4 linked regions of the Macaca mulatta genome follow. The protein of the gene in region 2 interacts with the protein of the main gene of each other region in a pairwise test. Links are inferred from orthologs where the notes say so. Each region holds a gene or a part of one and is shown on either strand. Other genes may lie near its edges.

What was found.
Region 1: the proteins of UBE3A (region 2) and MCM6 interact in binary tests that used the Homo sapiens proteins (3 or more experiments, as listed by UniProt). The link is inferred for Macaca mulatta from reciprocal best matches to the Homo sapiens genes UBE3A and MCM6.
Region 3: the proteins of UBE3A (region 2) and UBQLN2 interact in a two-hybrid assay, tested with the Homo sapiens proteins (2 studies listed by BioGRID and IntAct). The link is inferred for Macaca mulatta from reciprocal best matches to the Homo sapiens genes UBE3A and UBQLN2.
Region 4: the proteins of UBE3A (region 2) and JADE1 interact in a two-hybrid assay, tested with the Homo sapiens proteins (3 studies listed by BioGRID and IntAct). The link is inferred for Macaca mulatta from reciprocal best matches to the Homo sapiens genes UBE3A and JADE1.

What each region holds. Positions count from the first base shown.
Region 1 is NC_133417.1:27,485,748-27,493,865, forward strand, and holds the start of MCM6 (DNA replication licensing factor MCM6), read right to left. Parts: upstream 5,275-8,118; 5' UTR 5,212-5,274; coding exon 5,105-5,211; intron 1,674-5,104; coding exon 1,527-1,673; intron 1-1,526. UniProt on the Homo sapiens protein: Acts as a component of the MCM2-7 complex (MCM complex) which is the replicative helicase essential for 'once per cell cycle' DNA replication initiation and elongation in eukaryotic cells.
Region 2 is NC_133412.1:4,571,954-4,579,470, reverse strand, and holds part of UBE3A (ubiquitin-protein ligase E3A), read right to left. Parts: intron 5,491-7,517; coding exon 5,192-5,490; intron 1,537-5,191; coding exon 290-1,536; intron 1-289. UniProt on the Homo sapiens protein: E3 ubiquitin-protein ligase which accepts ubiquitin from an E2 ubiquitin-conjugating enzyme in the form of a thioester and transfers it to its substrates.
Region 3 is NC_133426.1:56,537,293-56,545,447, forward strand, and holds UBQLN2 (ubiquilin-2), read left to right. Parts: upstream 1-3,492; 5' UTR 3,493-3,769; coding exon 3,770-5,204; intron 5,205-5,300; coding exon 5,301-5,644; 3' UTR 5,645-6,853; downstream 6,854-8,155. UniProt on the Homo sapiens protein: Plays an important role in the regulation of different protein degradation mechanisms and pathways including ubiquitin-proteasome system (UPS), autophagy and the endoplasmic reticulum-associated protein degradation (ERAD) pathway.
Region 4 is NC_133410.1:137,603,893-137,611,409, reverse strand, and holds part of JADE1 (protein Jade-1), read right to left. Parts: intron 6,899-7,517; coding exon 6,741-6,898; intron 4,392-6,740; coding exon 4,204-4,391; intron 681-4,203; coding exon 469-680; intron 1-468.

The sequences.
Region 1 (8,118 bases), on a different chromosome or scaffold from region 2:
TGACTGGTGAGAGTGAAGTATGCATGTCCTTTTTATATAAGTTTCTAATAGCTACTACAGCTTACTTTGTTTAAAAAGTGGGGTCTGAAAGTCCTCTAAAAAAGGTGCTACTCTCGGGAAAGAGAACTGCTGCCTGGTTTGTGCATGAGGCATGGCACAGCTGCTTCTACCAGCAGGCTTGATTTTCTACCTCTCCCTCATTTGTCAGTGCAATAACTTCTGCTGCATGCTTTCACAATAAACCCTGTTGCTTACTTACCCCTCCAATTAATCTTGATCATCAGCTATGACTAGAAACACAGACAAATCCTCCATCTCCCAATCTACCAAGAAATGAACAAGATTGTACCTCCTTATCCCTGAATTTTCATTTATCTTTCACAACTGTCCACAATTTATTTTAACTTGATTCTATTTCTGATTGTCACATTCATGTAATCCTAATACAAAGTCTTGTGTGCAAAGATGTTTCTTGCTGTGTATAACAATTCAAAATACAATAAAAGCCTTATATTAAATATAATGTCTAACCATAGTATTTCTACCAAAAAACCACAATTGGAGCTATTAGTATGATTTTAAGAAATTTTATGTGAATTTGAGTAGTTTCATACACAGTACACACAGAAAGACATCAAAATGTGACAGAAGATCCTTACAAAACTCTGTACTTGTAGACTTAGAAGGCTCCTGGAACTCTTGTAGCAGACCTGCTAATGATGGTGGTAGATTACAAGTGTATAAGCAATTTAATTATCCTTACTTTTCTCTATTTTCTACAATATATACCTACTACTTTTATAAGCAGAAACAAAATTAAACTTTAAGGGAACAAGAAGTACAACAACATCAATGCTGTAAAGATATCCCCAGTACAAGAACAGGACGCACACAAACACCTATTCCTGTGGGGAAAAAGGATCAGTGGAATGACACAAAAGTACAGTTTTCCTCTTGGGAAAACTATACAGAAAGCAAAGATTTTCAACATTTGTATTTGAAAAAAAATTTCAGCTCTGGCTGGGCACGGTGGCTCACGCCCGTAATCCCAGCACTTTGGGAGGCCAAGGCGGGTGGATCACCTGAGGTCAGGAGTTCGAGACCAGCCTGACCAACATGGTGACACCCCATCTCTACTAAAAAATGTAAAAAATTAGCCGGGCGTGATGGCGGGCGCCTATAATCCCAGCCATTAGGGAGGCTGAGGCAGAAGAATTGCTAGAACCAGGGAGGCAGAGGTTACGGTGAGCAAGATCGCGCCACTGCACTCCAGCCTGGGCATGAGAGAACAAGACTCCGTTTCAAAAAAAAAAAAAAAAAAAAAAAAAAAAAAGGTCGGCTCTACAAAGGCCTACATGAAGTTCAGAGCAGTACTAAAATGACCACTGGCAGTATCAAAGCGCCTCTTCTCAGAGGGAAATAACTGCTGCCCTTCTGCTACACAAGTGAACACTTACAGTCCAGGAAGAGCTGGCTTCCCAGATTTCAACCCCTATTCAAAGTAAAGAAGATTAATATGTCCATACCTATAGAACTCCTCTTGAATGGTGGTAGAAAGTTGCTGGTTAAATTGTTCCAGGTCCACAAAACTCACAACCAATGTGTTTCTCTCAGGACGAATCAGTTCCTCTGCTAATTGCAGGTATTTAACTTCTCCATCGCTGCTCTGAAACCTGCAGGTACATGCGAGTCAACTAGATTAAGGACACAGGCAGTACAAAGAACCTGAATGATTGATAATTCAGAATACTGGTTAAAGTCCAACAAGTAGGCTCAGATGGGCCCATGTTTGGCAGTTCGGTAACTTGGGGCAAGTTACTTGTCCCTTCTGATATGGTTTGGCTGTGTCCCCACCCAAATCTCATCTTGAATTTCCACATGTTGTGGGAGGGACCTGGTGGGAGGTAATTGAATCATGGGGACAAGTCTTTCCCCTGCTGTTCTCTGATAGTAAGTATCACGAGATCTCATGGTTTTAAAAAGGAGTTCCTCTGCACAAGCTCTCTTTGCCTGATGCCATCCACTTAAGACATCAGTGACTTGCTCCTCCTTGCCTTCCACCATGACTGTGAGGCTTAACTGCTAACAACAAAAAAACAACAAAACAACTACTAACTCTTATTATTGTCATGTATAATTAAGATTGGAAAATGTTAAATCAAGAAATTCAGTCGAGAACCCAATGATTCCATTTCTGTAGGTAATTTGCAAGCTGACAGATTAGTCAGGGATTTAAGAAGCAGAATAGAAGAATACACGGAAATGAGGTGTTTCACTGTCCAAGACTTCAGGAAAATTGAAACATGCACACTAAAAGTTGGTATTTTTGCTTCTAAAGCCCAAGCAGGATATCATACAAATTTATTTTCTGTTCTTTTAAACATAATATGCAGATTTGCTTTAAGAAAAAATCAATTTCTCCTCCAAATACAGCATGTTCTGACAACTCAAATACAGCATGTTCTGACTTAAAATATTTGTTAACCAACTACGTGCAAAGCCCTATGACAGAGGCATCTGAGGCTGAAAATGGCAGTGTTGTTCCTGCCCTAGGGTTAACTACCACTTTGTGTCTAGGGAGTTAGATATATGTAAACAACGAAGACAGACATGAAATATGTTCCTGTTAATGAGAACAAGAAATGTGCTAGGATAATAGAAACTAAATCTGCCTAACAGAACATGTACAAGAGTCATACATATAAAAGGTGGTACTGGAATTCAGCTTCTGAAAGAGTTAAAAATTTCGAATAAAAACAGGTGGTGGAGTGACTGACTACAGATGTTTGCAAGTATATGATTAAGTCAGAGAAGGTAGGGGAGAAGTGTGGATGATGACTGGGGTGGTTTTGGAAGACAAACAGGAAAAAGGAGTGGTGAAGAATTTGAACTTTATTCCACAAGCAATGGTGAATTAAAGTTTATTTTGTGACAGGGAGTTGGCACTTCTTTAAACAAAGTATAGAGATTATTTGTCTCATCATTATCATCTAGCTGCAAAGTCAAGGCACTTAGATTATTTGTTGAAATGAAACATTTATTGAAGAACCTTTGTAATGTGATATGGTGGGTAGGTGGGGTTGAGGATGGAATCTGAATTCCACACTAAGTGGCTGAGAGGTAAAGGTGTTACACTGCCAGAGACAATGAAAAACAAATGGCACCCTGGGAGCCTAAGGAAGAAAGGATTAGTGCCTCTCAAAAAGGTGTACAAGGTATCACAAAGGTGAGTTTTTAGCTGGGCTTTGAAGGAGGAACTATCAGGCAGACAATAACATTGCCATAGGTAGCAAAATGGAAATTAAATTATGGTTTTAAGTATACCAAAATTTCATAAGATGGAAACATTATTCACAATAGCCAAAAGGTGGAATGAACCTGCGTCCACTGAATGGACAAGCAAAATGCAGTACATATGCAGGTTGAGCAGCCTCATCTGAAAATGTAAAACATGAAATGGTCCAAAATCTGAAACTTTTTGAGTGCTGACATGATTTTCACTGGAGCATTTCAAATTAGGGATGCAACTGGTTAAGTATAATGTAAATACTCCAAATCTGAAAAAAAAAATCCAAGATCCCAAACTCTTCTGGTCCCAAGCATTTCAGAAAAGGGATACTCAATCTGTAGAGGCAATGTTATTTAGCCTTAAAAAGTAAGGAAATTCTGACACATGGTACCTCGCAGGGGAACCTTGTAGACATTATGCTACACAAGCCAAACACAAAACGACAAATACTATTATGATTCCACTTATATGAGGTACCTATAGTGGTCAAACTCATAATGAAAGGAAGCAGAGTGGTGGGTGACGGTGGTTGAGGGAGAGGGTAACGGAAGAGAGGAAGAGAGTTCGTATTTAATGGGCACAGAGTGTCAGTTTGGAAGATGAAAGAAGTTTGGAGCCGGGTGCGGTGGCTCACGCCTGTAATCCCAGCACTTTGGGAGGCCCAACCGGGCGGATCCCCTGAGGTCGGGAGTTCAAGAGCAGCCTGATCAACATGGGGAAACCCCATCGCTACTAAAATACAAAATGAGCCGGGCGTGGTGGCGCATGCCTGTAATCCCAGCTACTCTTGAGGCTGAGGCAGGAGAATCGCTTGAATCCGGGAGGCGGAGGTTGCGGTGAGCTGAGATGGTGACACTGCACTCCAGCCTGGGAACAAGGGCTAATAATTCCGTCTCAAAAAAAAAAAAAAAAAAAAAAAAGAGTTTGGAGATGGAGGGTGGTGACGGCTGCATAACGAGGTGAACGAACTTAATGTCACTGGACTGTACACTTAAAATGCCTACAATGGTCAACTTTGTGATGTATATTTTACGACAATAAAAAGAACTTCATAAGCTTTTTTCACAAGCCATTCCAAACTGTTGACCCTTCATCCTGGAGGCCGTGGTGTATCTACTCTAGGAAAAATAACCGGTGGGTAGGTAAGGCAAGCCAGGGAGGAGGCGGGGCTATGAGGCCAGGAGCCCAGAGGCACAGAAAAAAAGAGGGGTAGTGGAGAAAGGAAAGGAAGGCCAGAGGGAAAGGGGAGCAAGGGACCCAGAAGAAGGGAAATGGTAGTTACTCTACAGGGCACGGCTCCGCACCCCAGTAGCTTTCAAACCACAGTTCACGCAGAAACTTTCATCAGCACAGGCGGCGAGGGTGGCCCGGGCCCTGCCCACCCCCAGCACCAGGCTACCGGCTGTGTGGCCCAGCAGGGCTCCGCCGGGATTCAATGGCACTTCGGCCTCCCCCTCAACCCGGCCGCACCCAGCGGCCCAGTTACTATACTCAGCGAGCCCAGGTTTCCGCGCCGGTCACCGGGAACTGTGCAAATACCAGGCTCGCGGGGTGGTGAGCATCAAGTGACAGAAGCAAAGCACTGGGCACGAGCGTCTTAGGGCTCGATATGGGTTTTCGTCCAGAAAAACCCAGCCTGTTCTAGGCTCCTCGCGGCCGCTGGGCTCGCAGCCTAAAGTTGGGGGGCGGGCGGGGCAACACTTCCCGGACGCGCGACCCCCAGGTTCCGGAACACCCGCCGGCCACACGGCACCTCCTGGCCCAGACACCGCGGGCTCCGGAGGCGGGCGTGGCCCCGGGCGCTCATCGACTTACTCCTCCAAGAAGTCCAGGAACAGTTTCTGGCACTTCTCGGCCACCTCATCGCGGACCTCCAGGTGCTGGCTGCCGGCGCCCGGCTCCGCTGCCGCCGCGAGGTCCATATTTGCCCAGCGCCGAGGATTCGCCTACGCCACGCTCGACCGCCACAAGTCGCTTCTTTCCAGACGCTGCAGCTTTGCGCGCGCCGCCGCCGCTTCCGCCCCGCCCCCTCTTCCGATCGGCACGGCCGGGACCAATCGTGACACAGGAGCCGGAGATTTCGCGCCAAACCTGACCAATGAACGGCGCTTCTCCAAGAGCCCCCGCCCACGGAAAGGGATTTCGCGCCAAATGCAAAGCCCGGCTGGAGAAAGCCCATCTGCCTTTGCGCCTGCGCAGTGTAGCCGTGGCCGCGGGTATTTTTGGCTACTGGAACAAGTTCGAATCTGAGGGTTTTGTCCGAGTGGTTTTTCAAATGTTTTTTAAATCATTCCACTGATACTAATTGAACGATCGGAGTAAGACTCTATGGAAGAGGAAAAAGGGGAAGATTCACATCTCCCGCTTCTACTGTCTAGTTGGAGGAAATACTGGAAACCACAGTATAAAACCCTGTAAAAGGGTCAAAGAGATGTCCAAACCTTGCCTGGGTAAGGTGGCACAATTATTGTGGTGGTGCTGACCGAGGAAAATCAGCGAAATATTTGACAGTGGCCGGGTGCGGTGGCTCACGCCTGTAATCCCAGCACTTTGGGAGGCCGAGGCGGGTGGATCACCTGAGGTCAGCAGTTCGAGACCAGCCTGGCCAACTTGGAGAAACCCCGTCTCTCCTGAAAATACAAAAAGTAGCCGGGCGTGGTGGTGCACGCCTGTAATCCCAGCTACTCAGGTGGCCGACTCAGGAGAATCGCTTGAACCCGGGAGGAGGAGGTTGCAGTGAGCCGAGATCGTGCCACTGCACTCCAGCCTGGGCAACAGAGTGTGACTCCGTCTCAAAAAAAAAAAAAGAAAAAAAGAAAAAGAGAAAGAAATATATGACACTATGGTTAATCTTTTTTTTTTTTTTTCTTTTTTTCCGATGAAGTCTCACCCAGTGGCTCAGGTTCGAGAGCAGTGGCGCGATCTCTGGTCACTGAAACCTCCCCCGCCCGGGTTCAAGGGATTCTCCTGCCTCGGCCTCCCGAATAGCTGGGATTACAGGCGCCCGCTACCGTGCCCAGCTAATTTTTGTGTTTTTGTAGAGACAGGGTTTTCGCCATGTTGACCAACTGCTCTTGAACTCCTGACCCCAGGTGATCCGCCTGCCTCGACCTCCCAAAGCGCTGGGATTACGGCCGTGAGCCACAGAGCCCGGCCTTAATACCCTTCTTAAAATGCACTATTGGCTTGAGTTCTCCTTATGTTCTTTCTCCCATCTTTCCCTGACCGTTTCGCTTGGTTTTTCCGCCGTCTCTTTGGCCATTCCTGGTTAGCATCCTTTGTAGGCGCCTCTTCTTCAGTGAGTCTTTTAAATGTTCTGGTTCCAGAGCTTTCATTTCCCATAAAGTCGCTCTCTTGGGCGACCCTTTACACTCCCTTGGCGTTAATTAACGTCTGGGTACTGATGATATCTATATGTGTATTTCACCAACCAGTACTTTTTTTGGCCTCCAAGACATTAAGAGAAACGGGGACCACTTCCATTTTTCGAGGCTTCTTGCATATTAAAAATATTTTTTCTTCCTTTTCTTTTTTTGAAACGAGGTCTTGCTATGTTGTGCAGGCTGACCTTGAACACCTGGTCTCAGCAATCGGCCTGCATTCGCCTCCTGAGTAGCTGGGATTTCCTGCCACCAACTTATTGAAAAAATGTTTCTTTTTCTTTTTTTTTTTCTTTCTTTTTTCTTTTCTTTTCTTTTTTTTCTTTTCTTTTCTTTTTTTTTTTTTTGGAGAGGGACGGAGTCTCTCTCTGTCATTAAGCGGGAGTGCAGTGGCACATCTCGGATCACTGCAACCTCTGCCTCCCGGGTTCAAGCAATTCTCCTGCCTCAGCCTCCTGAGTAGCTGGGACTACAGGCGCACACCGCCACGCCCGGCTAATTTTTTTTTTGTTTTTGTTTTTGTATTTTAGTAGAGATGGGATTTCACCATGTTGCCCAGGCTGGTCTCAAACTCCTGAGCTCAGGTAATTCGCCCACCTCGGCCTCCCAAAGTGCTAGGATTACAGGCATGAGCCACCGCGCCCGGCATGAAAAGATTTAAAAATGCCAAACAGAGTGGAGAGAAACTCAAGTAATTATTTTAACATACGTACAAATACACTATTCACAAGATATTTACAAGTTTAACAAAAATGCTCAACGCTGGTGTGTTGCAGTGTATCTGTAATCGTATGTATTACCTCATTTGAAAACGAACACTCAGCTGGGCGCGGTGACTCACTTCTGTAATCCCAGCACTTTGAGAGGCCAAGGTGGGCGGATCATGAGGTCAGGAGATCGAGACTATCCTGGCTAACACGGTGAAACCCCGTCTCTACTAAAAATACAAAAAAAATTAGCCGGACGCGGTGGCGGGCGCCTGTAGTCCCAGCTACTCGGGAGGCTGAGGCAGGAGAATGGCGTGAACCCGGGAGGCGGAACTTGCAGTGAGCCGAGATCGCGCCACTGCACTCCAGCCTGGGCGACAGAACGAGACTCCGTCTCAAAAAAAAGAAAATGAGCATGGTGGCTCATGCCTGTAATCCCAGCACTTTGGGAGGCCAAGGTGGGTGGATCTCTTGAGGTCGGGAGTTCCAGACCAGCCTGGCCAATGTGGTGAAACCCCATCTCTACTACAAATACAGAAATTAGCCGGGCGTGGCGGGGGGCGCCTGTAGTCCCAGCTACTCGGGAGGCTGAGGCAGAGAACTGCTTGAACCCAGGAAGTAGAGGTTGCAGTGAGCCGAGATCGCGCCACTGCACTCCAACCTTGGTGACAGAGCAAGACTCCGTCTCAAAAAAGAAAAGAAAAGAAAATGAACACTTGAGGCCCTGTGTCCTACAGCCCTT
Region 2 (7,517 bases):
CTATTCTCTTCTGAATGAAAGAAACTTTGGATCTAGTATTCAAGATTTAGAAAACCCACTCTTTTTCAAAGATAGAGTGAGCATTATATAATACAACCGATACTTTGTAGAAAACATCTATAAACTTGGACAGGAACAACAAAGTGTAATACTTATATCTAAGATCAGAAATGTCCATGTGTTCCTATGCTATATGGTATCATTTTTTTCAGTCACTTTTAAAATGAATTCACTGAACTGTATCATGATATCCCCATTACTAGGTTTTTAATCTAGCAGCCCAACTTACCCGGACAAGTGCATCATCTATGATATGGTCACGTCTAACTTTGAGTCTCAAATATGGATTCAACTGCTGTCCTTGAACTAAGCTGTAGAGAACAGTGATTCTTCGTTCACTGTACATGCGAATTCTATTGTCATAATATAATCCCAAATTCTTTGTGACAGCATTTAATATAAAGGGACATGTCATAAAAGAGAATTTGTTCTCTGTTTCTACTTTGAAAAAAGTATAATCTTTATCCATTTCTAGAACCTCATTCAGTGGTTCATTAATAAACTCTTCAAAAGGGATAAGTGGTTTTCGACAATCCAGGGTTTTAACACCAAGTTCAGTTTCCAGGGGGTCCACTCGAGGACCTTTCTTGTTTCTTCTTTCTTCTCCCAAAAGCTCCTGAAGTGTCAGCTCACTGGATTCAGGGATGGGCTCTTCATCATCTTCTTCATTGTGATTTGTGTCCACTTCCCCTCCCACTACATTTGCATAGTAAACCATTTTCAAGCACTTCGAAGCAGCAACAATGGCATCATCATCGTTCACTAGATTTCGACTGTTAAATTCATTGCTTATGACTTTGTAAGTAATAAGTTGCTGAAATGTCTCCATCATTCTCCGAATCTGGTCTGCATTGTATTTAGACCACAGTCTGATCAGTTTTCCTTGGGCTGCAAGGGGTAGCTTGCTCATTGCTTTGCAAAATAATGGCAAAGCCATTTCCAGATATTCAGGACTGTGGAGATTTCTATTCTCCATTACGATAATGAACAAATTCAGATAATTAGGATCTCGAGAGTATACATTGTGATACGTCAAGTCACATTCCACGTTAGGTGACAAATATACAAGTGCATTGAGAAAGGCAGTTTCAATTTTTTCATTAGACAGCAATCTGGTGTAGACCCTTCTAATGGCATCAATATCCACAGACACATCATCAGGGCCTACTTTTTGCAAATTGTTGTCTCCCTGTGAGCTATCACCTATCCTTGAGGAAGATGCTTCTGAGTCTTCTTCCATAGCAGCAGCAGAACATGCAGCTTTTTCCTTTTCATCTTCATCCTTGTCTTCATCTTTTGCTTGAAGAGATTTCAGTTCTTCCTTGGTATGTTGTTTAACTTTCCGGAAGCTCTGTACCAATGCCTCAGCACTAGAAAAAACTCTTCCAATAACACGAATTAAAGGGGAATAATCCTCTCTTTCTCTACATAATTCAAGAATTTCATATACCTTCTCTTCTGTTAAGTAAGTCACATCTAGAAAATCAGAGGAAAAAAGAGAACATTTATTTTCATAATATGCATGTTTACCCTGTTGCAAAAAGTTCTAATAAAAGTAAAACAGCCAAACATTGTAGTCTCAACATCATTTATGATATACAACTCTAAAAGTATCTAATACTTAGATTCAGCAAACAAAATTCAATGCTTACCTATTTTTTTCAATGAACTACCTACACCAATGACCTCACCCATGCTTTTACATTCTTTCAACAATGCATAACTCTTAATGAGATCAGGAGAGTTTAAACTTTCTTTATAATCAAGATATCTATTAATGTATAGCTTTATTTATAAATATGAACCAATATGTCATATACTGATTAATCATAATACAGCTCTTAAAACCTCACTGTAGAACAGAAATACTACTAATCTTCTGAGAGTTTTCTTGTTTCAGTACTCCGTTCTCAAAAGACTGAGAAGGCAAAGTCTTAAAAGAAAGGTTCCTTCAGCATCTATGTATGTATTAAAAGAAAACTGGTTCATTTTGGGTCTTCCTAGTTTGTTCCAGGGTAGTCATTCTGTGAGTGATTGAGAAGAATATACCATTTCTCATCAGCTCTTGAGCAGAAACTGCTTTCTGCAGCCAGCAATCAGGTTAGACTAAGTCTCATAGAGTGACAGAAAATAATTTTTGAGCAATGAAAACAGTGCGAAGAAGGCAACTTATGAGCTGGCAAGCAGTGCAGAGACTATGTAGTCATCAAAATCTGTTTCCTCTTTTCCTGGGCACAGAGTTGGACCACATTTCCCAACTTTTTGAGATAAGTGTTATTTTCAGGCCAATGCTTTCCCCCTTCTGGCTAACAGGATGAAAGATATTTTATTTTACAGGTAAAAACAAATGATATATTTTGTGTACTGACCAACATAATACTGAGAATAGTCTTAATTCTCCCTTTCATCAATAAAGTGACATACTTATCATCATCAGATTAACTACTTAAGGGGTTAATTTTAGAGGCACACAATCCTACCTCCATTGTGCCAAACATACCTTTATACATGTACTATACAACATGTAGAATTTTTAATGACTCCCACCTCTGCTATAATATATCTGTTTCACAATGAAAGACAATATAAAATGTAAGTGATCACTGAATGGTCTCCAAAAATTGAACCACAAAAATACCAAATTTTATCATACTAAGGATCTGATCTGTGGCCAAGCTACAAGAGTGTCAACACTTGCAGTTTCTTTTATGGGCCTTAACTCTTTAAGAACTAATTCTCAGGTTTGTTCTATTAAGAATATATAAGCATCTTTTGCTAAACATCAGTAACCTTTTCCCCAAAAGCGTAAAACCACTGGAAGTCTATTTCTCATTATTTTCATTGAAAATTTTTATAATACCTTCTTCCAAGACAATGCAAAACCCCTATCTAATTTCCCAAAATGTAACAGAAAATTAAGACATAAAACACTTTGCTTCCTGAGCAAGTCATAAGCTTAACAAAGACTTGCTTTGCATGCAGTAATATGGCCTGTCCTAGGGATCACGATTCTAGACTCACATGTCCTTTGTTGATATGTCATGCTTTCGGAACATCTTCAAGTGATTCTGACAGTCTACTAATCCTATATAGAATGTACCTATACTTTTTCCATGTAGTGTTTTTTGTTGTGGTTGCTGTTGTTGTTTGAGATGGAGTCTCGCTCTGTCGCCAGGCTAGACTGGAGTGGCACGATCTCGGCTCACTGCAACCTCTGCCTCCTGGATTCAAGCGATTCTCCTACCTCAGCCTCCCGAGAAGCTAGGACTACAGGTGCACACCACCACAGCCGGCTAATTTTTTTGTATTTTTAGTAGACATGGGGTTTCACCATGTTGACTGGGCTGGTCTCGATCTCTTGACCTCGTGATTCGCCCGCCTTGGCCTCCCAAAGTGCTGGGATTACAGGCATGAGCCACCATGCCTGGCCTGTAGTGTTTAATATGTTAAACTGAATTTTTCAGATATATAGATAAAAATTAGTCAAAAAACACTGTAATTAGATATGAACATTCATAAAGTTTGGTTTACTGATAGAGGTGTTCTACTGAGAATATATTAAATAAGACATTTTTTGTAAGATTTCTTGTGATAAATGTGTCCCTGAAAATACTCAATCTTTTAAATTCTGCACTTAAAAACCTTTTACACAACAAGAGTTTGGTGCAGACTACTTAATAGTTACGCAACTTTGTGATTAGTGTTAATAAACATAATTAATAATCAAAATAAGAGTACTAGTGCAGAGACAGCATTTCTAATTTCTAATATATGATAGTAACTGTAAAACACTGCAAAAACAAAAACAAAAACAAAACAGTAAAGAACAGGGAATAGTACCAGTAGCAGATTAGAAAGTAGGAAAAAGGAAAGGTCAAAACTGCTAACTAATGCAGACTTCAGCAAAAAGAGGTGGGGGCATAAAGACCGGATAAAGCCACACAATAAGCATCTCTAAGATGGAGCATGTGGCCAAAAGAGCAGATGAGTACATTCCTCATGTATCACACCCCCCCCAGCTGGCTGCATTCCACTGTGCCAGCACTCTGCGTTCAGTTACTGGTACTCTGTGGTGCACACTTACTGGAGAACTGTGTACAATAGAGTCAATGCAGCTTCCACATTATACTGACACACTATATATATAGACATTTACCTATTTTTCCACAGTGTGTGAGCTAATTCATGAAACAGAACTATACACTCTGAAGCAACAAAGTTGTGTAAAGTGACGAAAATAATTCTATTGTGGAAACAGTAGAGGTTATAACACAATGCCACTTCATTAATTCTTTCAAACTTGATTCAGATGATGTTACTGAAAGTTTTAGAGGCAAATGCCTCTAAAATTCTGTCACTTACACGTCATAAACAAAAAGCTTTCTCTCTTAAAATACAATTGCCTCTGCGTGTGTATGGGGGTGGGGGTGCAGGGGCGCTAAGCCCTGGCAGTCATTCAAAAATTTGATTACCGTGTTACTAATTACATTCACTGAGGAAAATAACTTGGAGTTTTAGTATTAGCGACAAGGTAATCGAATCCTGAATTTTGGACACAGGACCATTTAAAAAACAAAAGACCTGAGTGAAGATTGTCATTGGTAGGTCACCACCCTTGGCAGCATGACTGTACCAAATGTTTGTGAGGAGAGTGAGAAGCATATATTTGAAGGAAATGTAGAATTCTCACATAACTATCACAAAATTTTGTCTTGCCTTCTAAAATGGAAAAAAACCCACTGCTTCCTCTTCCTACTTCTTTCATCACATCATCCTGAGGTTCCAGAACTCATGCCAGATACTGAGTCCAGTTATTCTATAACTTAAATAGATGTTGTGGCCTAGTTTTGGAGATTAACTATCAATTAATACTTTTTTTCCTAAGAATTTTAAAAAGTTCAAATCCATCTATTAACAAATGAACTTTTGGCATATGATCTGCTTCTAATTAGCAACGATTAAACCTGTAAAATGTAGTTATTATTCCTGTCCTTTACCAAAACAAAAAATTGGTTCTACAGTATCAAAATGTCTTAATGTCACATAAGAAAAAACAAATAAAAACTCATACATTTAAATCTCCCACATGGTTTTCAGCCAACAATTCTCAATTAAAAATAAAACATCTTACCTTTAAAATCAATTCTAGTGCCTTTCTTGTTCATTTTTATCTCAGAGCAGGAGTTGTTGGGGGCACCTTTCGAGTTCTCAAGGTAAGCTGAGCTTGCTCCTTTCTTGGAGGGATGAGGATCACAGAGTTTTGCATTAATCTTATAAAGCTCGAGGGCTTTAATAGCTGCTGCATTATTATCCATACGAAGAAAAGTTGGACAGGAAGCACAAAACTCATTCGTGCAGGCTTCATTTCCACAGCCCTCAGTTAACTGGTGGTAGTAGCGTTCTATTAGATGCTTTGCAGCTGCTCGCTTCCTGTACCAAACAGTCAAACAATAAGCACAGTGATTAGTATAGCTGTCATGTACAAAGCCCAACAGATCATCAAGGCAAAAGTTAGTCAAGCACTGAAGTGATTAACCTGTGTGCGAAGATGAGAAGTAGAAAATGGAGATGCACTATTTACCAACAACCCCTGACTAGTGAAATAGCTAATAAATATTTTCTAGGATATGATAAAGAATGTCAATGCTTACTGACTGCATTAACAGAGTATACACTCCTTTGGTTTAAAAGGGGGGAGGGGGGCTCGTCTGATGGTATATGTGCTTAAGTTGTTTAGTACAACAGCTGAAAAATCACCAGGTTTACAGCTAAGAGTTTTAGGATTCTATCATTTTAAAAATTAGCATTAGGAAAATCCAGTTTTCCTTTACATAATCACTATTTCATTTTTAACAGTTTGTAAACATTTGACTTACAGTTAACACAGAATATCTATCTGGAATAAAAACTATTTTTCCCAATTATCAACCACATGGGAGACTTAAAAATAAATTTGTAAGTGGAATATCCAAAGCTACTGAAAGAAAGTGGCTGCAGCCTGAGTGAGGTAGATCATGACTGTAATCAATCCCATAACTGTGGGAGGCTGAGGCACGCAGACTACTTGAGCCCAGGAGGTCAACACCAGCTTGGGCAACCTAGTGAGGCTACTCTCTACAAAGTGTTATTTTTTTTTAAATTAGCCAGGTGTGGTGGCATGCACTGTAGTCCCAGCTACTTGGGAGGCTGAGGTGAGAGGATCACTTGAGCCTGAAAGTCAAGGCTGCCATAAGCCGAAATTCTACCACTGCACTCCAGCCTGGGCAAGAGCTAGACTTTGTCTCAAAAAAAAAAAAAAAAAGGAAAATAAAAAAGAAAAAGAGGCTCCAAAGTATATAATCTTAAATCTAAAACTTGTCACTAAACCTCCTCCTTAGTTCCACATTACAAGATGGAGTATTTTAAGTTGCATCACTCAAAATCTTATATTCCTTTTACTCTGTGAACTTAAAGTACACAGATTAATGTCCTATTTCAGCTGTTACAAGAGAGCTACCAAAACTGAGGAAGGAATTATGTGATCAAGTAAGAAGTTAGATGACATTATCTCTATATTCAACACTAAAGAGTCTGTACTTCTACTAACTGATGATGAGAACACCATAATTTCAGTAGAATAAACTACTGGATCCAAAGAAACGTAAGTCATAGCTATTCCTTTTGGTCCCAAATTCACAAGTATGGAAATAAAAACTACGAAGAATCAAAATTATAAGAAAAATAATTCAGCTAATTTTCAAAAAATTCACAGAATTATCTTACTAACATGTAGGACTAAATGACCAATGGCAGAGAATTTACATCTTGCTAATCATGAGAAACTCAGTAACAAGACAGCAAGTAAGTGAAGAGACAAATGAGATCCAATTTTGTCTCAAAAGAAAGACTTTGACTGTCTAAACTATGCAGGTAGGTGACAAAAAGTGACAATTCACACAGATTCAATTCATTCTGGTGCTTATATTTTTTCAAATGTTCCATGCAAATTTACCACTCACTGCATGCAAACAGAGAAAAAAGAAAACCCACAAAGCACAGGTAAAAATTGCATAAACATGACTTAGAGACATTTTGTTATCTATGAAGCTATAAACAACCCAACCTGAAAATTAAAAACTGTTATCACAGATTTATCACTATGCAAAATATGAAAGTGAAAACATGTAAAAATAAAAGGGGAATGGAGAATCCAGAAACTTTAAAACATACATTGTTAGTCTTCAGTAAAGAAAGGGAGATAATGTCATGTTCTCCCAAACTACAGTGACTTCCCTGGTGAAAATGTAAACAGGTATTTCCTTTCTGGAGGAAAATAGTGAATACGTATCGAAAGTCTTAAAAACATGAATACCACATGAATGAGATTCTACTTGTGGAAAACAATTTGACAATTTTACAAAAATGCAGTTTCCATATCTGAATAAAATCAACATGTTTAATAAAAGATTACTTAAATG
Region 3 (8,155 bases), on a different chromosome or scaffold from region 2:
CTTCAGTGGGATTTGGTAAAGAGAGAGGGTAAAAAACATAAGCTTAGCAGCCACTATGAACAAAATAGCTGATTTGAAAAATAACTAGTTATTTACTTTCTTGTAACCCAGGCTGGAGTGTGGTGGCATGATCAAGGCTTACTGCAAATTTCACCTCCCAGGCTCAAGCGATCTTCCCACATCCTCCCATGTAGCTTGGATTACAGGCACTAGCCATCAAGCTCAGCTAGTTTAAAAAAAAAAAATTGTAGAGATGGGGTCCTGCCATGTTACCCAGGCTGTTCTTGAACCTGGGCTCAAGGAATATGCCTGACTCGGCCTCCCAAAGTGTTGGGATTACAGGCATGAACCACTGCACCTGACCTTGTTCATTTTCTTACATGTCTCTCACATACTTTAAGATCTTCTACTTCTGGAATGTATTTTGACCATATCTATCTTCCTAGAAATGTAGTCATCAGGACTGAGGTTTTTTTTTTTTTTTTTTTTTTTTTTTTTTTGTCATTAGCCAATATTTTTACAATGCATTTCTTTTTTACTAAAAAAAAAAAAAAAAAAAAAAAAGTCCCTTTCATCTGTGACTAAATTTTATTCACACAATACTAGTTTGTATATTTTTCTTGGTGTGCTTTCTTTGTTTCAGCTAATTAATGCTGTGCTTTTCACTAATGAGGATATGTATATTCGACTACTAAAATGTTAATTTTATTTCATTGTAACTTAAAACATTAACAGTAACATATTTTGAAGTAAAATGTCAAAAAAATCACATAATTTTTAAGGTAAAGAAAGAGAATGCGAAGAAATGTGTTTGTGGAAAGTTTCCTTAAGAGGGTGAGTATGGTTTTGCCCCTCTGATGTGTATTTTGGTGAGGGAATGGCCAGGCAAGACAATCACCAATTAATAAAGATTTGTGTATTTGACTTGATTCTTCAAATATCTTCTTAGATTTACTTAACAAATTTTATTTTTTCTGTTTGTTAATTCATTAATATTTGCTTTTATCATTCTATAGCTGTCACCCCGTTTCTCTCCTTTTATTTTCCGTTGTCTTCTTTATTCAAATGCCTACTTCACTTATTTTCAATCTTTTGTTTGATATTTTAAATCTTTGAATGTATAAATTTGACTCTGAGTTCATCCACATAGTACTTAATAAATGAAATAATATTAAACTGGAGCTTGACACAAATGCAGCTTCCAGTGCACTGCTTATTTCAGTAGGTTTGGCATGGGGCCTAGAAACATGCATTCTTAACAATGTTCTCAGATCACACGTAGAAAATTCCTAGCATTATTGTTGCTGTATATGCTCCCATTATCATTATTTTGGTAAATTTATTCTAATAAGAACATTGCACTTTGTCCCAAAATTATTCAGTTTTGTTTTAATAATCAAATGATTGGTTTTTTGTTCATACTTTGATTATTAATATCTAGCTTTATTCTATTGAAATTAAATATTACCTATAATATTTTCATATTCTCACCACCCATGATTAACTGTTGCTGATATTTTACCATACTTGCCTTCATTTTAAAGATAAAAAGCATTTTTACATATTTAAGTTCCCTTTAATCACTAGCCTATATCCTGTTCCATTTCTTCTTCCTCATGTGTGCAAGTTTGGTATATTTCTAAAAGAATATTTCAAATATACATAAGAATGTATTAGAATGCTGTTTGGCATGTATTAGGTTGGTGCAAAAGTAATTGTGGTTTTAGCCATTACTTTCAATGGCAAAAACCATTGTATAATAGTAACAATTCATTACTTTCAATGGCAAAAACCGCAATTACTTTTGCACCACCCTAACACTAATTAATTTAGCTTTTTAGATCTATACATATTAACATATTTAAAGCTAGTCATTCTTTTACCTCTGTATTTTATTAATTATATTAAACATACTATATTATTCCATTTCTCCATCAATGGATATAACATACCTGTATATATATATTTTTCTTATCTTGAGATTTATTAAAGTATTTGTGACCTAATGAGTTTGAAATGCTGTTAAATGTTCAAATCAGTGGTTCTTTGGTGGCTGCTTGGTAGAGGGTGGGGGTAGGGGAATAATTTTTTGTGTGGTTTAACCTAGAGTTAGAAATATATAGATAAATTTGAAATTATTTCTTCTATTTTTCAAGTTCTCTTTCTGAGCATTGCTACATCTTTATTGCTCTTATTTAATCTGTAATGAAATTAGGTAAATATGTCAATGTTTGCCACTACTATTATGTGCCTGTCAATTTCTACCCATACTCTTCCCCAAAATACCTTTCTGTAGTGCATACTTACAAAAATCATCAGAAAATTCAAAATCTTATGAAAGTAGAAAATAAGAATTATTCATAATTTCAGCAAACAGTACTAACAGCCATTAACTTATTTGTGTATAGCCTTTCAGATTTTTTTACACATACGGTTTACATATACAACTAACTGTTCAAAAATTGCTTTTAAAATAAAAATATATTGTATTTTTGATATTGGAACATACATTCTTATATAGTTTTTAACTGTACAGAAATATACAAAGGCAAAATTGAAAATAATCTGTGATTTCCCTATAACTACAGTTTAGTTCATGTATACCTTTAAAGACACTCTATATTTTCTTGTATGGTAATATTATGTGCTCGACTAATCTTATGTAAACAGATATTTAATATATTTAAATAACGTTTTAAATGCTACAATGTATATACATTTTATACATAAATAGTTTTGCATCCTCATACGATTATTAGGCGAATTGTCTAGGTTAGGCATTTCTAAATAAAGGTGTAAACATTCAAAATGCTGATATATATTTTCAAATTGCCCTATGGTTGTAACAATTCACACTTCAACTAGCCTGAGAGTGCATTTTTTAGGGTCCCTGTCAACAACAAGGTTTATCATTATTTTTTTTCCCTGCCAATATGATAAGCCAAAAGTAGAATTTTATTGTTTTAACTTGAATTTTTTTTTATTGCTAGTGAAATTAATCATCTTTTTTAAAATGTCTATTGGCCATTTGCACTCCTTTTGTAAAATGCATGCTCCTGCTCTGTCTTCTTCCCTTCCCCCATTGGGGGTGTTCCTCTTTCTTTTTGCTTTGTCAGAGTTCTTTATTATTCATTTTTCGTCTTATATGTGGGATCGGTTCGATTCAGGCTTTCACCCTTTTACTGCCTTACAGATTGCTAATATACATTCTCCATTGGTCTTTTAATGTGGTTTACAGAAGCTGACTCTCTACCGCCTCCTTCTCTCCGTCCCACCCTCTGCCTCGCCTGCTCTGTACTGTTCTCTTCTCTTCTCTCTCTCTCCCTTTGTTTCGCTCTCTCCCTTTTTTTCTTTTCAGTGCAGAAGTTTTTAATTTTGACCGAGCCAAATCTATCAATCTAGGCCTGGCGCCGCGTCAGCAGAGGGGGCGGGGAGGCGAGCGCCGAACTGGGGGAGGGGAAGGGGCGGGGAGCAGCAGGCGGAGCGGCTGCCAGAGTTGCTGGGAGTGCGCGCGGTCGGATCACAAGGCGGCGGAGGAGGAGGCCCAGAGACCGGAGCGCGGAGACCTCAGCTCGCGGCCTACGCCCAGGCCTTTCTCCACCGGAGGACCAGGGAACCGCAGTCTTCATCAGAGAGGTACCGTGCTCCGCGCTCCCCGCCCGACCCGGCCCAGCCCGCTGCGGCGGCGCCTCCTTCCTTCCTCCTTCCCTCGCTCTCTCTCTTTCGCCCGCCCGCGCCTTCCCTGCCCGCCTGCGTCACCGCGGCCGCCATGGCTGAGAATGGCGAGAGCAGCGGCCCCCCGCGCCCCTCCCGCGGCCCTGCTGCGGCCCAAGGCTCGGCTGCTGCCCAGGCTGAGCCTAAAATCATCAAAGTCACTGTGAAGACTCCCAAAGAGAAAGAGGAGTTCGCGGTGCCCGAGAACAGCTCGGTTCAGCAGTTTAAGGAAGCGATTTCGAAACGCTTCAAATCCCAAACCGATCAGCTCGTGCTGATTTTTGCCGGAAAAATCTTAAAAGATCAAGATACCTTGATCCAGCATGGCATCCATGATGGGCTCACTGTTCACCTTGTCATCAAAAGCCAGAACCGACCTCAGGGCCAGTCCACGCAGCCTAGCAATGCCGCGGGAACTAACGCTACCTCGGCGTCGACTCCCAGGAGTAACTCCACACCTATTTCCACAAATAGCAACCCGTTTGGGTTGGGGAGCCTGGGAGGACTTGCAGGCCTTAGCAGCCTGGGCTTGAGCTCTACCAACTTCTCTGAGCTCCAGAGCCAGATGCAGCAGCAGCTCATGGCCAGCCCTGAGATGATGATCCAGATCATGGAAAATCCCTTTGTTCAGAGCATGCTTTCGAATCCCGATCTGATGAGGCAGCTCATTATGGCTAATCCACAGATGCAGCAATTGATTCAGAGAAACCCAGAAATCAGTCACCTGCTCAACAACCCAGATATAATGAGGCAGACACTCGAAATTGCCAGGAATCCAGCCATGATGCAAGAGATGATGAGAAATCAAGACCTGGCTCTTAGCAATCTAGAAAGCATCCCAGGTGGCTATAATGCTTTACGGCGCATGTACACTGACATTCAAGAGCCGATGCTGAATGCCGCACAAGAGCAGTTTGGGGGTAATCCATTTGCCTCCGTGGGGAGTAGTTCCTCCTCTGGGGAAGGTACGCAGCCTTCCCGCACAGAAAATCGCGATCCACTACCCAATCCATGGGCACCACCGCCAGCTACCCAGAGTTCTGCAACTACCAGCACGACCACGAGCACTGGTAGTGGTTCTGGCAATAGTTCCAGCAATGCTACTGGGAACACCGTTGCTGCCGCTAATTATGTCGCCAGCATCTTTAGTACCCCAGGCATGCAGAGCCTGCTGCAACAGATAACTGAAAACCCCCAGCTGATTCAGAATATGCTGTCGGCGCCCTACATGAGAAGCATGATGCAGTCGCTGAGCCAGAATCCAGATTTGGCTGCACAGATGATGCTGAATAGCCCGCTGTTTACTGCAAATCCTCAGCTGCAGGAGCAGATGCGGCCACAGCTCCCAGCCTTCCTGCAGCAGATGCAGAATCCAGACACACTGTCAGCCATGTCAAACCCAAGAGCAATGCAGGCTTTAATGCAGATCCAGCAGGGGCTACAGACATTAGCCACTGAAGCACCTGGCCTGATTCCAAGCTTCACTCCAGGTGTGGGGGTGGGGGTGCTGGGAACCGCTATAGGCCCTGTAGGCCCAGTCACCCCCCTAGGCCCCATAGGCCCTATAGTCCCTTTTACCCCCATAGGCCCCATTGGGCCCATAGGACCCACTGGCCCTGCAGGCCCCCCTGGCTCCACCGGCTCTGGTGGCCCCACTGGGCCTACTGTGTCCAGCGCTGCACCCAGTGAAACCACGAGTCCTACATCAGAATCTGGACCCAACCAGCAGTTCATTCAGCAAATGGTGCAGGCTCTGGCTGGAGCAAATGCTCCACAGCTGCCGAATCCAGAAGTCAGATTTCAGCAACAACTGGAACAGCTCAACGCAATGGGGTTCTTAAACCGTGAAGCAAACTTGCAGGCCCTAATAGCAACAGGAGGCGACATCAATGCAGCCATTGAAAGGCTGCTGGGCTCCCAGCCATCGTAATCACATTTCTGTACCTGGAAAAAAAATGTATCTTATTTTTGATAATGGCTCTTAAATCTTTAAACACACACACAAAATCGTTCTTTACTTTCATTTTGATTCTTTTAAATCTGTCTAGTTATCAGTCTAATATGATGCATTTTAAGATGGAGTCCCTCTCTCCTACTTCCCTCACTCCCTTTCTCCTTTGCTTATTTTTCTTTCCTTCCCTTCGTCTTGTCTCCCCCCTTCCTCCCTCTTTGTTTCCTTCCTTCCTTATTTCCTTTAGTTTCCTTCCTTACCCGATTTGAATGGTGGGAATCAATGCTGTTTCACTCAAAAGTGTTGCATGCAAACACTTCTCTTTATTCTGCATTTATTGTGATTTTTGGAAACAAGTATCAACCTTCACAGTTGGGTGAACAAGTGTTGTCCTACAGATGTCCAATTTATTTGCATTTTTAAACATTAGCCTATGATAGTAATTTAATGTAGAATGAAGATATTAAAAACAGAGGCAAATTATTTGAAGCTCTCTAATTTGTGGTACGATATTGCTTATTGTGACTTTGGCATGTATTTTTGCTAGCAAAATGCTGTAAGATTTATACCATTCATTGATCTTTTTTGCTATATTTGTATACAGTACAGTAAGCACAGTTGGCACTGTACATCTAAAAATATTACAGTAGAATCTGAGTGTAATATGTGTAACCAAAATGAGAAAGAATACAAGAAATGTTTCTGGAGCTAGGTATGTGTCTCACAGTTTTGTAGAATCTTACAGCATCTTTGATAAACTTCTCAGTGAAAATGTTGGCTAGGCAAGTTCAGTTAAAATATAGTAGAAATGTTTATCCTGGTATCTCTAAGTATACATTTAATTGTACAGAAAATTTACAGTGTAACATTGTGTCAACATTTGCAGATTGACTGTATATGACCTTAATCTTTGTGCAGCCCGAAGGATCAGTGTAGTAATGCCAGGAAAGTGCTTTTTACCTAAGACTTCCTTTTCAACTTCTCCCATAAAGAGACCCTAATATGCATTTTGATTTGTAATTGGAAATGTAACTTTCACTGAAAGTGTCATGTGATGTTTGCATTACTTTTAACTGCTATGTATAAAGGAAAGTGTATCTTTTGACTTCATCAGTTATTTCTCTTGTGCACAGAGAAAAATGCATTAAAAATGACTAAAAAAAAATAAAAAATTAAAAAATGGATAAATCTTTTTCTTTTTGCCTTTTGGCCCTAGGATCGTGTTTAGGAGGGTTATCCCACCCCAAGATTATATAAATCTTATCCTGTATTTCTCTAACTTATATGGTTTCATTAAGAAAATGTTTTGTCCTGTCTGGAATTATCTTGATATATGGATTTAGGTATTCTAACTTTTTTGCCCCAAAGGTTAGCCAGTTGTTAACATATTTATCTTTTCCCCCAACATATGAAATGTCATACATGTATATACTTTATTCTGTGTTTGGATTCCCTTTAGTTCCATTGAACATTGTGGCACCAGTACACCAGCCTGTAGATGAGTTAGAAATGGGACTTTGTATCTGTTAATGTGAGACCTCCTCTTGATCTTTTTTATTTTTTACAATTTTCTGATGATTCTGACATGTTTATTTTACCAGATGAATTTTACGGTTAATGGATTCTTCCCCAAAAAATATATTTAATTTGGTTGGGATTCTCTTAAATTTATATGACTATGAGGACTACAGAATTGCATTGCTTTCCAGAAACATATGTTGCCTTGTTTCTAAAAAACTTTATATATCCTTCATGAGAGTTTTATTTAAATCCTATATAATTTGTAATAAATATGTTCCTAGGTATTACAGACATACAGGGAACACGTTGATACTGCTTATTGGAGCTTTTAATATGTTACCTATGTGGTCATTTTTGCTATATCGGAGAAGAATTTATTTGCATAGATTATTTTAAATTGGCAATTTATTGAAATCTATTAATTTTAGAGATATTCATTTGATCCTTTTGAGTTTTTCCAGGTGAGAAATCCTATCCATGATGTTATAATTATATGTTTTACTTTTCAAAATTTATAACATAGTTTCTGACTGCATGGGTTAAACATTTTCATAACAGTGCTAAATAATAAAGGTGGCAGTGGCATTTTTGTCTTGTTTCTCATTTTAGCCAGAATGTGTTTGCTACAGCAATTCCAAATTGTGTTTTGTGAAAAAAAATATTCTTCTGGGACACAGGTAAATACGTTTGCAAAATGCTGTATACTTTAATCTCTCTTGGAGACTCATTGTGCAATAAATGTTGGCTAGTATTTTTTTTTTAATGAGTAGCTTCTTCAATTAAAAAAAAAACTATTTAACTTTGTGTAACTCAGCATTTTCCGAACTTATTTAAGCACAGAACCACCTTTTTTTTGTTTTCTTTTAAACACACCTAATAACATTTGGCCTGTCGGTGTTCCTCAGAACACCAACTTAGGAAATGGTGATTTATTATTTCATTACCATATCATGCCAAGTATTTGACATA
Region 4 (7,517 bases), on a different chromosome or scaffold from region 2:
CTCCAGAACCACAAGACAATACATTTTTGTTGTTTTAAGCACACACAGTCTGTAGTGATTTTTCTGTTACACAGGGCAGCTGTAAGAAACTAATACAGCACACTAACCACCTTTTCAAAGGTTTGTTTTCTCAGTGTTCTTAATACCTAAACTTAGGCATTACGGTAGGACAGAGGGGGCTCATACATTCTTTTTAAATAAACTTGACTTCTATGGATAAGAATAAAACACGTGAAGAAAGACGATTTCCACAGAGGGTGCTATCCTTCTGGCTGCAAAAGCAGAGGATATATTTCAATCACTGTAAGAACCTACCAGGGAAAAAGAAAGTCTATAGGGCACATTTCTTTAAATTGTAGAAAAACAGACCCCATTCAGAGGAAGAATCCTGGACTCCAGGCATACACTCCCACAGCAGACAGGCTCATGTCCCAGGTTTCTTCGTTCTGGCCTCCCTGCCCCACATACCTGGTGCACACAGATGTTGCATTTGTCACAGAACACCATCTCATTGCCATCCTCACCGTCAGGGGACTGGCAGACATCACAGACAACATCTTCGTCATATTCGATCCCCAGGCCTTCCTCAGTCTCTATGGCATGATTCATATTGTCGTAGCATCGCTGCTCAAATTCCTCTAGGACCCTCTCCATGGTGTATTCATCTAGTTCAGGCATTCCTGAAGTTAAAAATGCCACAAACCCATTTTAATAAATCCGTATTAATAAATATTACAAAATAGTTCTGGTTTATTTATACTTAAAAAAATGTACAATGAATAAACAATAGTCTGATAAATAAATCCATCACTGGCCAGGCGCGGTGGCTCACACCTGAGCCCAGGAGCTCAAGGTCAGCCTGGGCAACATAGTGGAACCCCATCTCTACAAAAAATATGAAAATTAGCCAAGTGTGGTGGCACACACCTGTAGTCCCAACTACTCAAGAGCCTGCAGTGGAAGAACTGCTTGAGCCCAGAAGGTTGGGGCTATAGTGAGCCATGACTGTGCTACTGTGGTCTGGCCTGAGTGACACAAGACCCTGTCTCAATCAATCAATCAACCCATTGATGCATCCATCCCTGAGGGCCCCAAAATTTTTTATTAAATCCTTATCAGATCCTTCTAAGAAACAATCTTCAAAGGGGAGAGTCTTCCAGGAAACTGTTATGTTCTTGTGGTCAGGTAGTAAAGATGCAGTGTAGTAAATGGGAAAGCAAAAGGTAAATTTTAAAAGGATTCAAGGATATTAAATACATACATTGTTGAATACGACATTTCATTATACTCATTACACATAACAACTAACACGTAAGGGACTTCAAAACCATGACCTCAGATATGGTTTGGATGTTTTTTAACATTTGCCTTTCTTGGTAGGTAAAAAAGTTCTCTCAAAACAGATTACACTTTGGATACTCTAATATTTTTAAATGATGTATCCCTCCTCATACTCTGACTTCTACAAAGTTGAAAAACATAGTTAACCAAATGCAAAAAAAGACTGAAACACCAGGTACAGTGGCTCACATCTATAATCCCAGTACTTTCGGAGGCCGAGGCAGGTAGATCATTTGAGGTCAGGAGTTCAAGACCAGCCTGGCCAATAGGGTGAAATCCTCTCTACTAAAAATACAAAAATTAGCCAGGCATGGTGGTAGGTGCCAATAATCCCAGCTACTTGGGAGGCCGGGGCAGGAGAATCACTTGAACTCAGGAGGTGGAGGTTGCAGTGAGCCAAGATTGCACCCCTGCACTCCAGCCTGGGCCACAGAGTGAGATTTCATCTCAAAAAACAAAGAAAAAAAAAGATCAGTAACAGCTAAGACAAACATCTTTAAGCATGTGTTCCATTTATGTTATAAAATTACAAAATTAGGCCAGGCGTCGTGGGTCACCCCTGTAATCCCAGCACTTTGGGAGGCTGAGGCGGGCAGATCACAAAGTCAGGAGTTCGAGACCATCCTGGCTAACACGGTGAAACCCCTTCTCTACTAAAAATACAAAAATAAATTAGCCAGGCGAGGTGGCGGGCACCTGTAATCCCAGGTACTCGGGAGGCTGAGGCAGGAGAATGTCGTGAACCTGGGAGGCGGAGCTTCCAGTGAGCTGAGATCACGCCACTGCACTCCAGCCTGGGCGACAGAGTAAGACTCTGTCTCAAAAAAAAAAAAAAAAAAAAAATTACAAAATTAATCCTGCCAATGTATTCAACAGTATCTTCAAATATGGATTAGCCCAGTTCTTATTATTTAAACCATTCATAAATGCCAAGAGTCTTTGGGCTGAGTCCTCTGACTTCACACAGGACACCTAGATTCCAGTCAAGTGCATTACACTGGTCTTTATAATGTGCTTACAACAAAGCAGAAACTGTGTATCTTTGAAGCTAAAATTTAGTATCCAGTTCCAAAAGATCTCTGAGAACTCCTGAACACATGCCATAAAACCACCTTGTGGCCTGCTAATGTTTTGGCCATTAATACCTAAAGCAGGACCAAGAAGGAGGAAATCTATTTTGTCTATAAAAACACCTGAGTAGGCCGGGCACGGTGGCTCAAGCCTGTAATCCCAGCACTTTGGGAGGCTGAGACGGGTGGATCACGAGGTCAGGAGATCGAGACCATCCTGGCTAACACGGTGAAACCCCGTCTCTACTAAAAAATACAAAAAACTAGCCAGGAGAGGTGGCGGGTGCCTGTAGTCCCAGCTACTCTAGAGGCTGAGGCAGGAGAATGGCATAAACCCAGGAGGCGGAGCTTGCAGTGAGCTAAGATCCGGCCACTGCACTCCAGCCTGGGCAACAGAGCGAGACTCCGTCTCAAAAAAAAAAAAAAAACACCTGAGTAACTGAGTAAGTAGAAAATAACACGATGCTCAGCTCAGTCTACACTGTCACTCCCATTCAACAGGATGGTGAGCCTAATGGCAGGACAAGCATCTACTGCAAGCCACACTCTATGCTAGGTTCCCTGGAAAGACACAAAAGAAAAGATCTTGGCCCTTTCAAGGCTGTGAAATTCACCATGACCAAAGATCTTGTGAATTTTTTTTTTTTTTTTTTTTTTTGAGAGGGAGTCTGGCTCTGTTGCCCAGGCTGGAGTGCAGTGGCACGATCTCAGCTCAATGCAAGCTCCACCTCCCCGGGCTCAAGTGATTCTGCTGCCTCAGCCTCCTGAATGGCTGGGACCACCACACCCAGCTAATTCTTGTATTTTTAGTAGAGACGGGGTTTCACCATGTTTGCCAGGCTGGTCTTGAACTCCTGACCTCAGGTGATCTGCCCACCTCGGCCTCCCAAAGTGCTGGGATTACAGGCATGAGGCAATGAGCCCAGCTGATCTTGTGATTATTTACTATGTCCTAGATTACAATACACAGCCCTTGCCACCACTTCCCCACCGTGTACCTACAGTACAAAAGCTAATTAATCCTCATAGTTTTTCACACTGATCCCAGACTTGACTCCATTGTCTTGTTCATCAAGACGCTCAAGGCAACCCTTAGCAATCAGGACTGGCATGTGAAATGAGACCTACGCACCATCCCAGTCTCAACACCGTGAGATGCAAGTACATGACATGCAGAAGCTCCAACCTCTACATACACTAAAATGAGCTTGCAGAAAAGAAGCTGAAAAGGGCTGGGCACTCAGCTAATGTGAGGCTTCACTAAAGGAAAGCCAGGACATAGACAAACAGGAGGGAAAAAGAACTCCAGGTTTGCAGCATGACATAAGGAAAATCACTCAAGTTAAAACACGTGTGATGTGCTTGGAAATGGGGAGCATGCCTGGAAAAGTGTTCATTTAGAGAAGCAGCAATCCACAGCTGAAGAAGGAATCTGAATGGTGTCGCAGAAAAAAAAACACTAGAGCAAGTAACTGGAGTATGCCCTTTTGTCACTTAGTCCTGGACTTCAGCTTCCTTAAGGTAAGTGAATGAGGGAGTTAGATCAGAGCGGACATGGGAATCCCTGGTGCCTAAGCCGAGGAGCCCTGCTTCCACTCTGAATCCATCTCAGCACATCTGACACAGCCAAACAGGCTGAGCTCTAAGGCAGGGCTGTCATTCTGACTAACTGAAGCTATGATGGAGATGCCTTCAACTGGCAATAAGGAGCTTTTTGCTACTCACCTACCTGCCTAAAATACGTTTCTATTCATTATTGGTTAATAAAATAATATAATACATGGTCTCTCACCCATTTCCTTAAATTCTTCATTGGTCAGTTCCAGCCATGCAGCATCCATGTCATTGAGGTCATAGCGACACACACTGTCAGCCAGCGTCCGGATGTCCACATAGCCCAACTCGGGAGGCTCTGAGCCTGATGACACGATGTACTTCTTGGGCCTGATGAACATGAGGGATTTCTCTTCAGACACAACCCTGCATAACAAAAAACAAGGCAGCTAGGTTACCCTTTCAGTCACAGACAATGAAGTATGCCACAAGGCCCCAGGTGTCGCTTCCTCTTCCAACCCTCAGAGCCACAGGTCATCACTAGAGGCTGAAAACCTGAATGTCACTGCTAATAAAACCTTAACTAGAAGTTGGTAAAGCCTGTGAACAGGAAATAGATATGAATGAAAACACTGTAGAAGCCTTCAAATCTGCTTCCCAGGACACTGCTGTGCCCTGCCCACCACCTCTGACCACTCTGGCCTGCAGCCAACACCAAAACACACTGACCCTTACATTTCAAGAGTTAATCACTTTCCCTTAACCAGACCTGCCCATCTCTGCTGGAGGCCATTAGAACCAGGGCACCACACAGGCAGGGCAGGCACAGCAGACTCTGAGAACCAGAGGGAGATACCCGCCAACGCTGACACCTCACAAAAAAAAGCCGGAGAGAGGGAAAAGAAGATTAGGCCTTGGGCTGGGCACGGTGGCCCAAGCCTGTAATCTCAGCACTTCGGGAGGCTGAGGCAGGTGGATCATTTGAGGTCAGGAGTTTCAGACCAGCCTGGCAACACAGTGAAACCCCATCTCTACTAAAAATACAGAAATTAGCCTGGTATGGTAGCGCACGCCTGTAATCCCAGCTACTTGGGAGGCTGGGGCAGGAGAATCGCTCGAACCCAGGAGGCAGAGGTTGCAGTGAGCCAAGATTGCAACATTGCACTCCAGCCCGGGCAACAGAGTGAGACTGTCTCAAAAACAAACAAAAAAAAAAGGAATTAGACCTCGGCCATTATCAACAAATCTAAGAATCAAGAGTCCCAGCCAAGAGGCAGACTGACTCTCCCAACATATACCTATGATCCCAGAAACAAAAGCACAAGTTTCTTCTCCTCCTGATACTGCCACACACTCTCCCCCAACCTTTAACACCTGGAGTGGTGCTTTCCAACTCACCCCACTCAAAATAAGACAGCATGCGCAAGAAGATCAAATCACTCCCAACTTGGACCAGAAAAGGCCATCTTCCTAATCACAGGCCCCAGGCCTCAACAAAGTCCTTCCACATCTGCATTTCTGCAGTTTAAATTACTGTCAACAGGCTGCCCAGAGTCTGTCAGAGTACCTTCATCACCCTTATATTATGGGAGTGATTTTATCTACATGACGCTGAGATGGACAAACTGAAGGGATTTATTTCTCCTACTCAACCAAGAGCAGGGATCCAACTGAAAACTTCCACAAGCTGTATTAATGCTCACTTCTGTCCTGGTTCCCCACTGAAAGTGAAGCATTCAGCAAGTGACTCCTAGGCTGGGGCTGCCAGTGCTGAATCAGGTGGTGCTACATCTCAGACACAGGCTCTGAGGCAGATACCTGGTCTGCCCCGCAGAGCCCCGTGACCGCTCCATTCCACAGGTCCCGATTCTAGCCTGTGGGGGCCATCCTGGCACTTCTGATTGGTCACCTAAGCCTGAGTAAGACAGGGGCATATGTCACCACTGGATAGACGCCCCAGAGATCCCAAAATGACAACTCAAATTTGATCATCTTAAGTGCCCAAAACAAGAGACACAAAGTGGGTGACGGCCAGGAAGCAAGTTCAGTCATGACTCAGCGTGGAGAAAGACACTGTTTCGCAAAGCAGCAGCCAACTGATGATGGCCGAGAAGCCAGGTGCCAGCTGAGCACAGAGGGCACTCAATCCTCCCTCCTAAGAGGACTCTCCAGGTGGCACGAAGCAGGGCAGTGAGGAAATGAGTAAACAGCTGCAACCTGATTGTGAGGAGAGTCGGCAGGGACTCAGCCCTGAGGGATCTTTAAAGTCAGTAAATTCAGAGAACGCACCCTGAGAACAATGTGACCAGTCAAAATAAATCCCTCCAAAACTCCCCTCTCCACAAACCCTAACTGGCAGGTCTGGTCTCCTCACACCTGTCCTCCTCCAAAGGCGGAGGCAACTACACACTTCTCTCCAGGAGAGTCACTCTCCAGAGTGAACATGGAGGGCAGGAAAAGAGGATGAAGACATGTGAACACCCAAATTTTCCTCCCCCAGCCCATCACTTCCCAGGATGTCTTGGAATTTGCCTTCCTCTCATAAGACAGCAGCACCTCCCCACAGTGGTGGCTGTAATGTTAAGTATGGAGGCTCATGGCCCTCAAAACCACTACCCTGTATGCCTGAAGTGTGCTGCTCCTACATTTCTATTTCCACTTGAGGCCTCATGATATTTTATTGCTAACTCAGAAATTGTCTCTTCTCAGATGCCTGCTGTCAGGGAAGAAGAGCGAGGGTGGGTGGAGAGGCGTCTGCCCTCAGGGCATCTCTACCTGGCCACAGGCTGAGGGATGGTCCCTGGGCTCACGGGCACCTGGACCCCTTTTTCCCATTCCTGTCTCCAGGGATCTGCCAACACATAGTACTCATCCGGATTCAGCTGGTAGGAGTCATGCAACTTCATGGCAGTGATCAGGTCTGTCCTAAACACCTGGAAAGGAAGAGAAAGGGACACTGACATTTGATATTTGCATTCTTATTCAGAGTGCTGGCAGCTGCAATGTAACCATGGAGCTGCCATGTAACAAGGTCACTGTATCAACATAGAACAAGCCTGACCTATTACAGAAAACCTTTGCCTGACACGCCTTTTACCTCACTCAGGCATGGGGGGTGGCAGTGCTGAGGGAACCCTGTCCTCTCACTGCCTCAGTCCATAGTGTCCACAACAACTTCAACAAAAAAATCTCTGAAAAATGTCTCTCAGTTCACCAAAAGGGCTGCTGAAAACATGTACCTGGAAATCTCTGAAGGGAGATACTGCACTCAAGGGTGCTCTAGAAATACAACTGCACTAGGCCGGGCGCAGTGGCTCAAGCCTGTAATCCCAGCACTTTGGGAGGCCGAGCTGGGTGGATCACGAGGTCAGGAGATCGAGACCATCCTGGCTAACACGGTGAAACCCTGTCTCTACTAAAAATACAAAAAACTAGCCGGGTGAGGTGGCGGGCGCCTGTAGTCCCAGCTACTCTAGAGGCTGAGGCAGGAGAATGGCGTAAACCTGGGAGGTGGAGCTTGTAGTGAGCTGAGATCCGGCCACTGCACTCCAG